Coturnix japonica: one gene and its partners. The main gene of each other region encodes a partner of the protein of the gene in region 2 in a complex. Links are inferred from orthologs where the notes say so. Each region holds a gene or a part of one and is shown on either strand. Other genes may lie near its edges.

Region 1 (3,576 bases), on a different chromosome or scaffold from region 2:
CTACTGCAGCTCAGAACGTGGCTTCCTTCCTTTCTGTTTAACCAAACAGACCTTTTGCTTTTGGCTGCAACAAACCACTGAGAAGAACAGTTGTTTGACAGAGATGTGTTATGTTTGCCTCACTTACCTGTTGTTTTCAATTGTTTTGTAGCAGAACAACGTAAGGATATGAGCCAGGGGTGCCTCCTCCCCCTGGGTGCAGCTCAGCCATCCCACAGGGCAGCACCAACTCATTACACAGGCTGGGGGGAGCAGAGACACCAACACGCTGCCCCATAGGCAGCTCATCCACCCTATGCAAGGGCTCCTAATGTGCAAGCTGTGGGGATCTGAGTCAGGGCTGTAATTCCCTCATTAGCGAGGACATTGTTACAAACCCCTTCATTAAGGAAATATGTGTTTTTAACATGTAAGACAGTTGAGGCTGCAGGGAACAAGCATCAGGCGGTCTGTCCTCTCACCAGGCTGTGCTTAAGGGAGGGTTTGCAGGGTCTGATTCTTGACACACCTGACACAAGCTCTAATATTCAAGCTTTGCAGTGAATTTGATATTGGCATAGAGATTTGGTTTATTAATCACGTCTTGTTTGTAGGGATGCAGAATATAGACTCCATAGGAAAAATAATTACAATTATGGCTGTTTAGCATCTCTGCCAAGGAACGCTTACACAAAGCTGGTGTTGTTCATTACACAGAAACACAGAGAAGCAAAGTGGGAGTGACTTTTTTTCCCTACAAACAGATACAGAACACGCACTGTGTAAAGTAGGTGACACTCAGTTCTGATCTAAGGAGGAGTTTCTGCCCTCCTGGGGTATTTCAGCTGTCCCCACACAAAGCGCAGTAATCCCAAATGAAATATAGAAACAGCGTTTGGGTTCTGTCTCTATGAGCCCTTCAGGAAAGTATCTCGTTCTTCCATCTCTGGTAAAGGGATGTTACCTGGAAGAAAAGAGAATTGTGAGAGACCAGTGAGCAGTGCAGCTTAACGTACAGTGCTACTGCAGTCTGATTTGTGAGCATGTAAGGGAAGTCAGGAAGTTCTGTTTGCCTTCCTGTAAGCAGTGCTGGGCAGGAGCTGTAAGGTAACATTAACCCCTCTACTGCTTTAGGCTCAATAGCTTGCAGCCTGCTCCAGGTTTGGTTTGTTAGTACAGATGATTAGAGTCATCCCTTACTTTGGAAGGTGTTGGGTTAACTCGAGCACGATGCAAAAGTTCTATAGAAGCTATGGTACCTGGTGGGGCTACGAAGTATTCCTCGACTTTCTCCGTGGCGTTTTTCAGCAGCTGTGCCGTGCAGTTCCCCTCGGTAACGTCATCTTCCCGCAGATAAAGACACCTGAGGACAGCGGCCGGAGGTCTGCATGGAGCACATTGGGGCTGGATGTGCACGGGGCACCAACACGGCCCTTACCTGTCCTCCAGCACCGAGTCCATGGGCTGGACACCCTCCGTATCCACCTCCCGCAGCCGCTCCGCGAATCGCACCGCGTCCCGCAGCCGCTCCACGCCGTCGGCATCGCGGAAATCCACCAGGGCCAGGCGCTCCAGGTGGTCGAGAACCTCCATCGTGACGCCGTCCTGCAAGAGAGCACAGATGGGGCTCCTCAAACCGTTACCTCCACTAATGGTATGGTATGGTATGGTATGGTATGGTATGGTATGGTATGGTATGGTAATGGTATGGTTATGGTATGGTATGGTATGGTATGGTATGGTATGGTATGGTATGGTATGGTTAGGGTAGGGTATGGTTAGGTTATGCTATGGTATGGTTATGCTATGGTATGGTTATGCTATGGTATGGTTATGGTATGGTATGGTTATGATATGGTTATGGTATGGTATGGTATGGTATGGTATGGTATGGTATGGTATGGTATGGTATGGTATGGTATGGTATGGTATGGTATGGCATGGGTATGGGTATAGGTATGGGTATGGGTATAGGTATGGGTATGGTATGGTATGGTATGGCATGGTATGGTGATGGTTATAGGTATGGGTATGGCATGGCATGGTACGTTACGGCCCGGCCCCGTGCTCTGTCTGACCTGCGGTGTCGGCGCGGCGCTGGCTGTGCACACGCTGATCCTGAGTGCTCTCACCGTCCCGCCCCGCAGTCCCCGCCATAACCCCGGCACCCACATCTCGCGCCGCCGGAAGCGGTTTGTGGCGTCATCGCTACGCGCCGGAATCGCGTCGTAGCGGTGTCGGAGGGGCCGTGCCGCCATGAATAGCGTGGGGGAGGCGTGTACCGAGCTGAAGCGCGAGTACGACCAGTGCTTCAACCGCTGGTTCGCAGAGAAGTTCCTCAAGGGCGAGAACGACGGGGACCCGTGCGGGCAGCTCTTCAAGCGCTACCAGCTGTGCGTGCAGGTGCGGGCCCTGCCGAGCCGCCGCCTTCACAGCCCAGCATCGTGCCGTTGCAGCCCGTGCGGGGCGGTGCTGACGCTGCTGTTTGTAGATGACGTTGTGAACAGAAGCTTTTGTTTCTCGGTGCCGTTTGAAACGTGCTTCCAACGTAACCGTTTTGTTGTTGTTCTTCCCAGAAAGCCATCAAGGAGAAGGACATCCCCATCGAAGGGCTGGAGTTCATGGGCCCGAGCAAAGGGAAAGCTGAAAACTCCTCCTGACTTCAGCTGAATGCGGGGAGTCAGTGATACGAGCCCACGGGCTGGGAACGGCGGCCACCCAGCAGCCAGGATGGATGCACCGGGACAGCGCTTTGCTGAGCTGCTTCCTCCATGTAGCACTGTAGGAAGTGGGGTTTCCTCTGTGCCTGTAGAAACAAACTGCCGCGAGCCAAAAGACTTCACGGTGTGCTGCCTGCTGCCTCCTTCCCAATGAATCGTGGTGGTGGTTCGGCTTATAACAGTGCAAAAAGATGATTTAACTTCTGTCGAATGTACTTTATAATGGGAGATGTTGAACCTGTAGTTAATCTCTGACCCGTTTATCTTGCTTATTTATGATGTTAGGAAGCGTCTAACAAGAAGGTTGGTTTACTCTGTCTTATCTCTGTGGTGCTGAATTTGGGTGGAAGGAGGCTGGTTTATATGATCCCAAACACCAAGGGCCTAAAGCACAGGTTTTGCCAGTAACAGAGATGGTGTAAAAGCACTTTTGCTGGATTTGCAATAGCTTAAATGAAATAAATGTAAGAAGTTATATTTTGTTCAGGTGGATGACTGTTTGGTAACGTCTGATTATGACCTCCAGGAGGGACAGAGGCAGCCTGCAACAGAACTGAAGAAACAGTGAAAGCAGAGGCCACTTTCTTTGGCCTTTTCCGAGGTACTGAAGTGATCCTGAATCTGAGTTCTTGCTCCTGTAATGTAATGTGTCACTGCAGTAGAACTGCGCAGGCCTGGCTGTCTTTGCACACACGACCACACAGCACCAGGTTGGCCACAACTCCTGTTACATCTTTGATTGAGATAATCAAAGTGTTGAGTGACAGTGATGCTGAACTGAAGCTTCACAGCTGAGAAGTTCAACGCCCCGGCAGCTTGTCCCGCCTCTTGGGGGACCTCACCTGCTTATGAAACTGCTCATGGACTATGTGTGAGC
Region 2 (3,654 bases):
TGAGGGGCAGGCTGGGCTCACTGCTCCAGATGGTACGACCGTAATAGTCAAAGCAGATGCTTCTGTTTAGGTTTGTGTACTGTACTCATTTTCCTGCTACCTACTTTGAAGTAGGGGTGCCAAGTGGGTCTGTTGAAGTTATTCTTGTGAGGGTGACCCATGCAACCACACAAGCAAACAAGACAAGGGGCCTGCTCTTCTCCACACCCTGCTCAGGTCCCCAATAAACACACAATGGGGTGTTTCCACAGGGTTGCTGCAGCTCTCAACAGCCAAAGCCTCGTTCTACTTTCCTGACCCAAGAACCACCTTCCTTCCACAATGCCCTCGCTGAAAACCAGGTTCCTTCTGCCACAGATGTGCATACTGCCAAGCCCTAACGGCGAGCAGTGAGGTCCAGCTTTGGCCATACTCCCATCAGACCAGTGTCAGTATAGTAGAGTTGCATTCCACTGTTGACATCCAAATGGTGCCTCCAGGGGGAGGCCATGCATAGCGTGTGCCTGTGCAGGCCTCCCCAGTGCAGGACATGCTCACTGCACAGCCCTGCACACCAGCAGAGCTGTAGGCTGCTCCCCTTTATACAGGCATGCCAGCATGAAACCGCTTTGGAGGCCTCTGGGGTAGGATGCTATATTTGATGGCAAGCTGGGCGTGAGCTCCGTAATTACCCAAGTGGTAATTATGTAAGCACACCGTGCCCTTTCCTTGGCATATGCATCCTACCATACAATGTTCTGTGTCTATAATCAGCACTCGCAGCTTTTATCTGTGTTTTAATGCCTTATACAGCAGAGACTGAACACAATCCTCTTAACAAATTAAAACTTCTAACAGCTTCCTGCTGCGAGCACGTATGTGTATGCAAGTCTGTGTGCTCACCCCATCAACCCTGCTAGTGCTTCTAGTTGGATCTGTCTCTACCACTGCAATTCGTTCTCCTCCACTCCGAGTGCTGCACTTCATCTGCTGTTGTGTATATATATATAGCCCCTTCTGCCCTCAGGCCATCCAGCATCTCGGCCTACTGCTGAGAATTGTTATAAACATTTGTTATTCTTCTGACATCCAGGCAACCAAAATACTTTTCTAAATGTGGCGAGGTTCCTGCAGTTTGACAGCATCACTCGGTGATGGCAAATAGGACTGTTATTTCTCTGTGTCCAGTTTCAGAACGCAGAGGACAACATGCACATTACAAGGAGTTGGTAATTAAACAAGAAAGGCATCTCTGAAATTCTTGACATTTCATAACCTGTCAGAAGTGCTGGCATACAGATTTATCACAAGGAAAGGACTCCAGTGGAGGGGCATCGGTACCTCTCTACCTCCAGAAGGAAGCAGAGTTTAGAACGGAGTTCTGAGCTCCTTTTCAGATGCAGACCCCAAAATAACGGGTGTCCCATTGCCCTGCAGGCACACAACTGCTCTGCATCCCAGTGTATTTCCCTGTTAATATTTTATATCCTTTTTGAAGCTTTTGCTTTTCCAGTCCAAAATTTCCAGATGCACATGCCTGAAGTCAGGCACTTAAATCTGTATTTACGGTGCCTATAAAAAGCAGCTGGCTATTCTGAAGAGGAGGCCAACATCATCAAAATCCACAAGTACCTCCAAAAGAAACCCCCCAAAAACAGGAAGTGTTCCCAAGTAGGAAAAAGAGCCACACTTGCAGCTCTGGCTTTAGAATCACATCAAGAGTGAACTAATGCCTGTATTGCTTTAAAGTTGTACTCGGACTCAATCAACATGTGCTAGAAAGGCGGAAACGTGCCTTGTGCAGAGAGGTAAGAAACTTGAAGAGAGGTAAAAGCTAGAAAGCAGGCAAGGCAAGTATCTTCAACAATTTTGCTTACAGCCACCTGAGGAAAAATGGTTAACTAAAGTATTTAAATGCAGAGCACAGTAACTCACCTGAAAGGACAACAAACCCCACATAGAGAATTTGAGGAGAACGGCAGTTATCTCCTATCACAAAAGAACTCCAGATTCTGCCCAGTAAGCACCAGAGTTACCTTACCATCATAAGCAGTTCATAAATTAAGAGATGAATGTGTGAAGTGCTGGTTTTTCAGACTGTCCTAAGCAAAATGATAGAGGGAAACTGGCTTTACAGACACTCCTTGCTAAGGAGACTCTTGGCAGCGCTTGCTATAAGAAGCCAGGATAAAAGAAAGGTCAAATGTCTCTGTGTTAGACTCACGGAATGCACCATATCAGACTTTTTTTTTTGTGACTACAGTCAGGTGATTGATATCCTTTTCCATACACCAATACTGGACAATATAGGCTCCAGTATCCCTTTGGACATACTAGCTGATACCCTCAGCTTAATTGCAAGCCATGGATTAATTCCCACCAACCTTTCCTCAGGTGCTACTCAAGCTACCAGACTGAGATGTAGCATCTGCTTTGTTCGGAAGCAGAACTGACTTAACTGACTGTAGCTTAGAACTACTGTTTGGTTTATGCCCCCTTATAACACTAAGCACGAAAAGATATTACACTACACAAGGCATTTTCATCCATGAAATGTATATGGCACAGATGCAAAATTTATCCTTCATCAACACCTTGAATAATTTAAAGCAACCAATTCGTTGGTACTCAATGAATGCAGATGGAATAAGCATTGGTGGATTCAAAGTACAGCGAAATCAAAAAATACCTGCTTGGCTGCTGAAGAAGAAATGTCTCTGTTTTCTAGAAGGTTCAGAAGGTCGGCTAGGAGAAAAGAACTGATGGGGCTGTGGAAAAGGGGGACAGGAGTTAGAGAAGAGGACAAGTAACAGATTTATGCCACTGTTGCTTGTCTAAATGTCACACAGTTTAGCATGACAAGCTAGTATTTTTTTCCCCCCGTGATACACCATATTTTGATCTTGACTGCCTGATTATGCCTTATCATTGCCCTCTTCTCTGGAAGGCATTTGGTTAACTTCATTAATCATGACAGTGTCAAGGCCTAAGCAGCACTGCCTAGGATAACCAACCTCACAGATGATAACTAAAGCAGAAGTCAGCATCAGAGTGACATGATACTGTTCTTGGTACATGAGAAAAGGAGCAATTTTATTTCACCACTGTTGTAACTGAGAAGCCTGACCTTTCCTTTGCTGTAAGGGAATGTTGTTTTAAGTGACTGAGTAGGTCACTCAGAATCCAGCCGATCACTTTCTTTGGCTTCATTCGGGTCTGTTTTACCACACTTTCAAAGAATTCCATTAATCCATCTTCATTCTGTTAAAGAAAAATTAAATGCATCAGATACTGAAATGCAAGCTGATTAATTACACAGTTTGAGTCAGACTAGAAATGCTAAAGTAAACTAAAGAAAGTAAGAAAGCTGCAAGACTATGGAGTAATATTATAATAAGTAAACAAACTACAGTGTGCCTAGAATGCACGCATACAGCTTATCAGATGTCAGCCTGCTCTAACATAACTTCCATAGTTGAGTGATCTTTCTCTCACATCTTCCTTTAAATTAATACCTGGGGAGAACCTTTTTCATCTTGTCCTTTGTCTTTAAATTTTAATATAATGCTCCATACACAGTCTCGCTATCATTTACCAAAAAAAGACTCTGGCTGAAACTGCCTATAGACACCTCACTCTTGATCTTGCAATCACTTATTTTGGACTCATGGAGTA
Region 3 (3,654 bases), on a different chromosome or scaffold from region 2:
TCATTGAAGGCAGCATCCAGTAGCCTGGGACAGCCCTAATCAGAAACAGAAGCCTGTGTCACCAGATCTACTGGGTACTGAAAAGATGTGCTTTAGTGGCCATGGTGGTAATGGGTTGGCAGTTGGACTAGATGATCTTAGAGGTCTTTTCCAGTCTTAACAGTTCTATCAATGTCCAGGGCTTCACCTACCAATGAGAAACATTAAGTGTTGCGTTTTGGCTTTGTTTTTATTTTAACCAAACCCATGCCTTTGGCTTAGGTGGGTTGAAATACTTTGATTGGATCATTGTGGATAAAGTCATTTCCATGTCAGAGATGTGCCTCAGAGGGAGAGCAGGGAAAAAGCACAGGAGAAGAAAAAACAACCAACCCCGACCTCCCCATTATGCAGGGTTAGAAATAATTTAAGCTCGCTTGAGCACAGGATTCTGCTAAGAAGAGTTTTTTCACCCCTGGCCTCTCATTTCTGTACTGTGTATTTTCACAGTCTCATGCCATCACCAACATGGCTGCACCATCAGCTTGATGAGAAAGCTGATCCAGCTGAAAAGCAGTGTCTCAATTAGGTTCATTTTCAACTGCCAGCTCAGCTGATTTGGCTAATAACACCAACACTATGGAGCTGGAGAACCTGAGGTAGCAGTTGCAAGGAAGATGGAAAGCCCCTCCCTGCTTCTGGTGGCAGCCTGCATCTAGATTACCACAGTCTGAAACCAGATTCCAACAAGCCAGTCTAACACTCTGAAGCATCGAACTATGACCTCAGGGGAGAGCTATAGAGCAAGAAATAGTGGGTTATTTACATTGGAGCACTTGTTGCCACTAATTGTGGGGCTTTCCCCCCCTCCTCCAGTGTCCCACAAGGCTGTGGTCATCTTTGTGTGCGTTTTCCAAATGCAGGCTCAGGAAGCCAGAGTACTTTTGTTTTGTAGCAGATAGTTTTACCTTTAGGTACGTTAAATCTGTTTCATATTTTTGTTTGCATCCTTTCCAGTGGCATTAGAATCACAGAATGGCTCATGTTGGAAAGAACGTTAAAGCCCACCTGCTTCCAACCCCTGGCCACCAACAGGGTTACCACCCACTAACAGATGCTGAGGTTCTGTGGTAGTGAAGGATGAATATTCCTTTGAAGATCTCAACTTGTGCATGTTGTCTGTCTGTACTAGACTGTACATAGGTCAGACTTTTTGTGTTGAAAATGAATGAGGAACTGGATAAAGAAAAACTTGGAGAATGCAACGTGTTGTCTGTCACTTCTGTCTGTCTTCATTCTGTTATAGGTCTGGGAGTACAGATGGGGTATTTGGACCAGTCAGAAATCCCTGGAGTTATTCAAGACAGTACAAGGAAAAAGTTGCATCCAGATCTGATTCTGAGCCTGAAAACTCTAACTGGGTAATAGCAGGAGGGAGCTCTGGAGGCAGTGCAGCTGCTGTATCGGCTTTCACGTGCTTTGCGTAAGAAGCTTTTTAGAATTGTTTCTAATTAAATGCCTTGAAATATGCTGCAAGGTTTTGACTTAATAATTTTCTAATAATGTAGTTTAAATTGTAGAAAAGCTGTTGATCTTCTCTGAGATGGGAGCGTTGTTTGCTCTGGCATGTGAGAATTCATTTCAACATCATTGGTTTTTTGTGGCATAGCATGAATCATAGAATCATAGAATGACCTGGGTTAGGAGGGACCTCAAGGATCATGAAGTTCCAACCCCTCTGCCTGGCAGGGCCACCAAACTTCTACAATTACTAGATCAGGTTGCCCAGGTCCCCATTCAACCTGTCCTTGAAGCCAGCATGATTTCTTGTAGGCGGATTTAGGCTTATTCATTTAGAATGTTGTTCAGTGTAGTGATGTAACTGCTTTGCACTGCATGAGGTAAAAAGTGATAATGGCAGTAAAGGAATGACAGCATTATTGTTATTCCCACATACTCTTAAAAACAATGGAGTTTGAGACATATCTTCTACCTCTTTATGTTAAAGACGTACACACTGAAAACTTAATTCAGTATGACACAATACCTGTCAACTTATAACAGTATAGAAATCTTTCCTTCTGGCCTTTGTTTTTATAGCTGAGCGCGTGATAATATAAGTGAGATTTGACGTCCACAAGCTTTCAAATACCCAATTTGAAAACAGGAAGCCAGTTTATAAAGATATGTGAAGGAGAGTTTTAGTTTATTCAAAAAAGATCGTATTTTTTTTACCACAATTATCTGCATGGAATTGCAACACACTATTAAACTGACTGATTGTTTTTATCTCTTCCTCACCCATCTGTTAAAAGAAATCTGTTCCTTAAAAATTCACACTTTTCATTTTATGCAGTTTTGAGAGCTACATTTCAGAACATATTTTCAGTTGTGTTCTTAACTGGGAGATGATTTAAGTAATCTTTAGTTATTATGTCTTTGTTTACCCTTGTACTGTATGTGTCTGCTTGTTAAACTATTTTTGCTCCCAGTGATTACTGCTTTAAAAAAAAACACACATTTTTATGTATAATACTTAAGGTTATATTTTTTTAGTCTGATTATAGTACTTCTGTTTTAAGTGGTCTTTGAGTTTAAAGTCACTAAAAACAAAAGAACCTTAATTTCAATGCAACTTTAAATTCCGCTGAAATTTTTACAGTGACAATTTCAGTTTAGAACCAGGTTTCACTTGTGAAGAAGCAGTAAAAGAATTCAACTTAAAGAAGAATTGCATTGAAACTACACTAAACTGGAAGTTCTACTGTACTTTGTAGGCTTGGAAACAGGAAGAACCTCTTACCTGGACTTTGAAAAGCATGCCTTGTTATTTGGGGCAAAAAGCATACTGTGTCACTGCTGCTTTGTATGCTGGAGCGTGATACTTCATATCATCATTCATTAGTGAAGAAATAATCATGAATATCTGAAAAATCATAAAATAAGCACAAGACATCTTTCACAGACCACAGAATTGGAACAGACCAACTGAGAAGCAGGAAGTAGGTATTTAGGGCCCTATTCTGAATGCCCGGTTTCTATTTGTCTACCTCTGATTTGTAGGGAGAACCAGTCTCTCCTTGTGGCTAATTCAGAGGCCCTAAGAAAAATGCTGAAAACAGCTGAAAAATAGCAGATGTAGGGCGTAGACTAACATTTAGATTGTCATAACCAGACTTTTAGTCAGGAAGAACTCAGACATTTAAATCCAAGCATCATAAAGCCATAAATATTTATTGTTTGGAGATACTCTCAATCATTTTACTAATGGCAATCCTTTTGAAACCATAGAGCTTTAGGATCAGACACAGGAGGATCTACCAGAAACCCTGCTGCTCACTGTGGTGTAGTAGGTTTAAAGCCAACATATGGACTGATCTCTCGCCATGGTCTCATTCCTCTAGTGAACTCCATGGATGTGCCAGGAATCCTAACCAGATGTGTGGATGATGCAGCAGTTGTGCTAGGTATTACTACTACATATATCTTTGCTCAAAGCAAGCTGAATTTCATCTACCCAATATAGGTTTTCCTGTTCTTCAATGTGTCATGTCATGTTTCAGGTACACTTGCTGGACATGACCCTAAAGACTCTACCACAGTTCAAGACACCTTTCAGCCATTTGCACTGCCAAGTTTGACTGATGTCAGCAAGCTCTGTGTAGGAATTCCTAA

What was found.
Region 1: GATB (region 2) and GATC share a complex: the UniProt entries of both Homo sapiens proteins name them as parts of the heterotrimeric GatCAB amidotransferase (AdT) complex. The link is inferred for Coturnix japonica from reciprocal best matches to the Homo sapiens genes GATB and GATC.
Region 3: GATB (region 2) and QRSL1 share a complex: the UniProt entries of both Homo sapiens proteins name them as parts of the heterotrimeric GatCAB amidotransferase (AdT) complex. The link is inferred for Coturnix japonica from reciprocal best matches to the Homo sapiens genes GATB and QRSL1.

The regions. Positions count from the first base shown.
Region 1 is NC_029530.1:8,238,645-8,242,220, forward strand, and holds GATC (glutamyl-tRNA(Gln) amidotransferase subunit C, mitochondrial), read right to left. Parts: upstream 2,238-3,576; coding exon 2,058-2,237; intron 1,585-2,057; coding exon 1,418-1,584; intron 1,343-1,417; coding exon 1,239-1,342; intron 944-1,238; coding exon 888-943; 3' UTR 541-887; downstream 1-540. Other genes in the region: TRIAP1 (TP53-regulated inhibitor of apoptosis 1), read left to right, coding at 2,236-2,382, 2,556-2,639. UniProt on the Homo sapiens protein: Allows the formation of correctly charged Gln-tRNA(Gln) through the transamidation of misacylated Glu-tRNA(Gln) in the mitochondria. The reaction takes place in the presence of glutamine and ATP through an activated gamma-phospho-Glu-tRNA(Gln).
Region 2 is NC_029519.1:29,502,183-29,505,836, forward strand, and holds part of GATB (glutamyl-tRNA(Gln) amidotransferase subunit B, mitochondrial), read right to left. Parts: exon of another isoform or gene 3,249-3,654; intron 3,241-3,248; coding exon 3,107-3,240; intron 2,748-3,106; coding exon 2,669-2,747; intron 1-2,668. UniProt on the Homo sapiens protein: Allows the formation of correctly charged Gln-tRNA(Gln) through the transamidation of misacylated Glu-tRNA(Gln) in the mitochondria. The reaction takes place in the presence of glutamine and ATP through an activated gamma-phospho-Glu-tRNA(Gln).
Region 3 is NC_029518.1:61,914,916-61,918,569, reverse strand, and holds part of QRSL1 (glutamyl-tRNA(Gln) amidotransferase subunit A, mitochondrial), read left to right. Parts: intron 1-1,285; coding exon 1,286-1,462; intron 1,463-3,270; coding exon 3,271-3,446; intron 3,447-3,542; coding exon 3,543-3,654. UniProt on the Homo sapiens protein: Allows the formation of correctly charged Gln-tRNA(Gln) through the transamidation of misacylated Glu-tRNA(Gln) in the mitochondria. The reaction takes place in the presence of glutamine and ATP through an activated gamma-phospho-Glu-tRNA(Gln).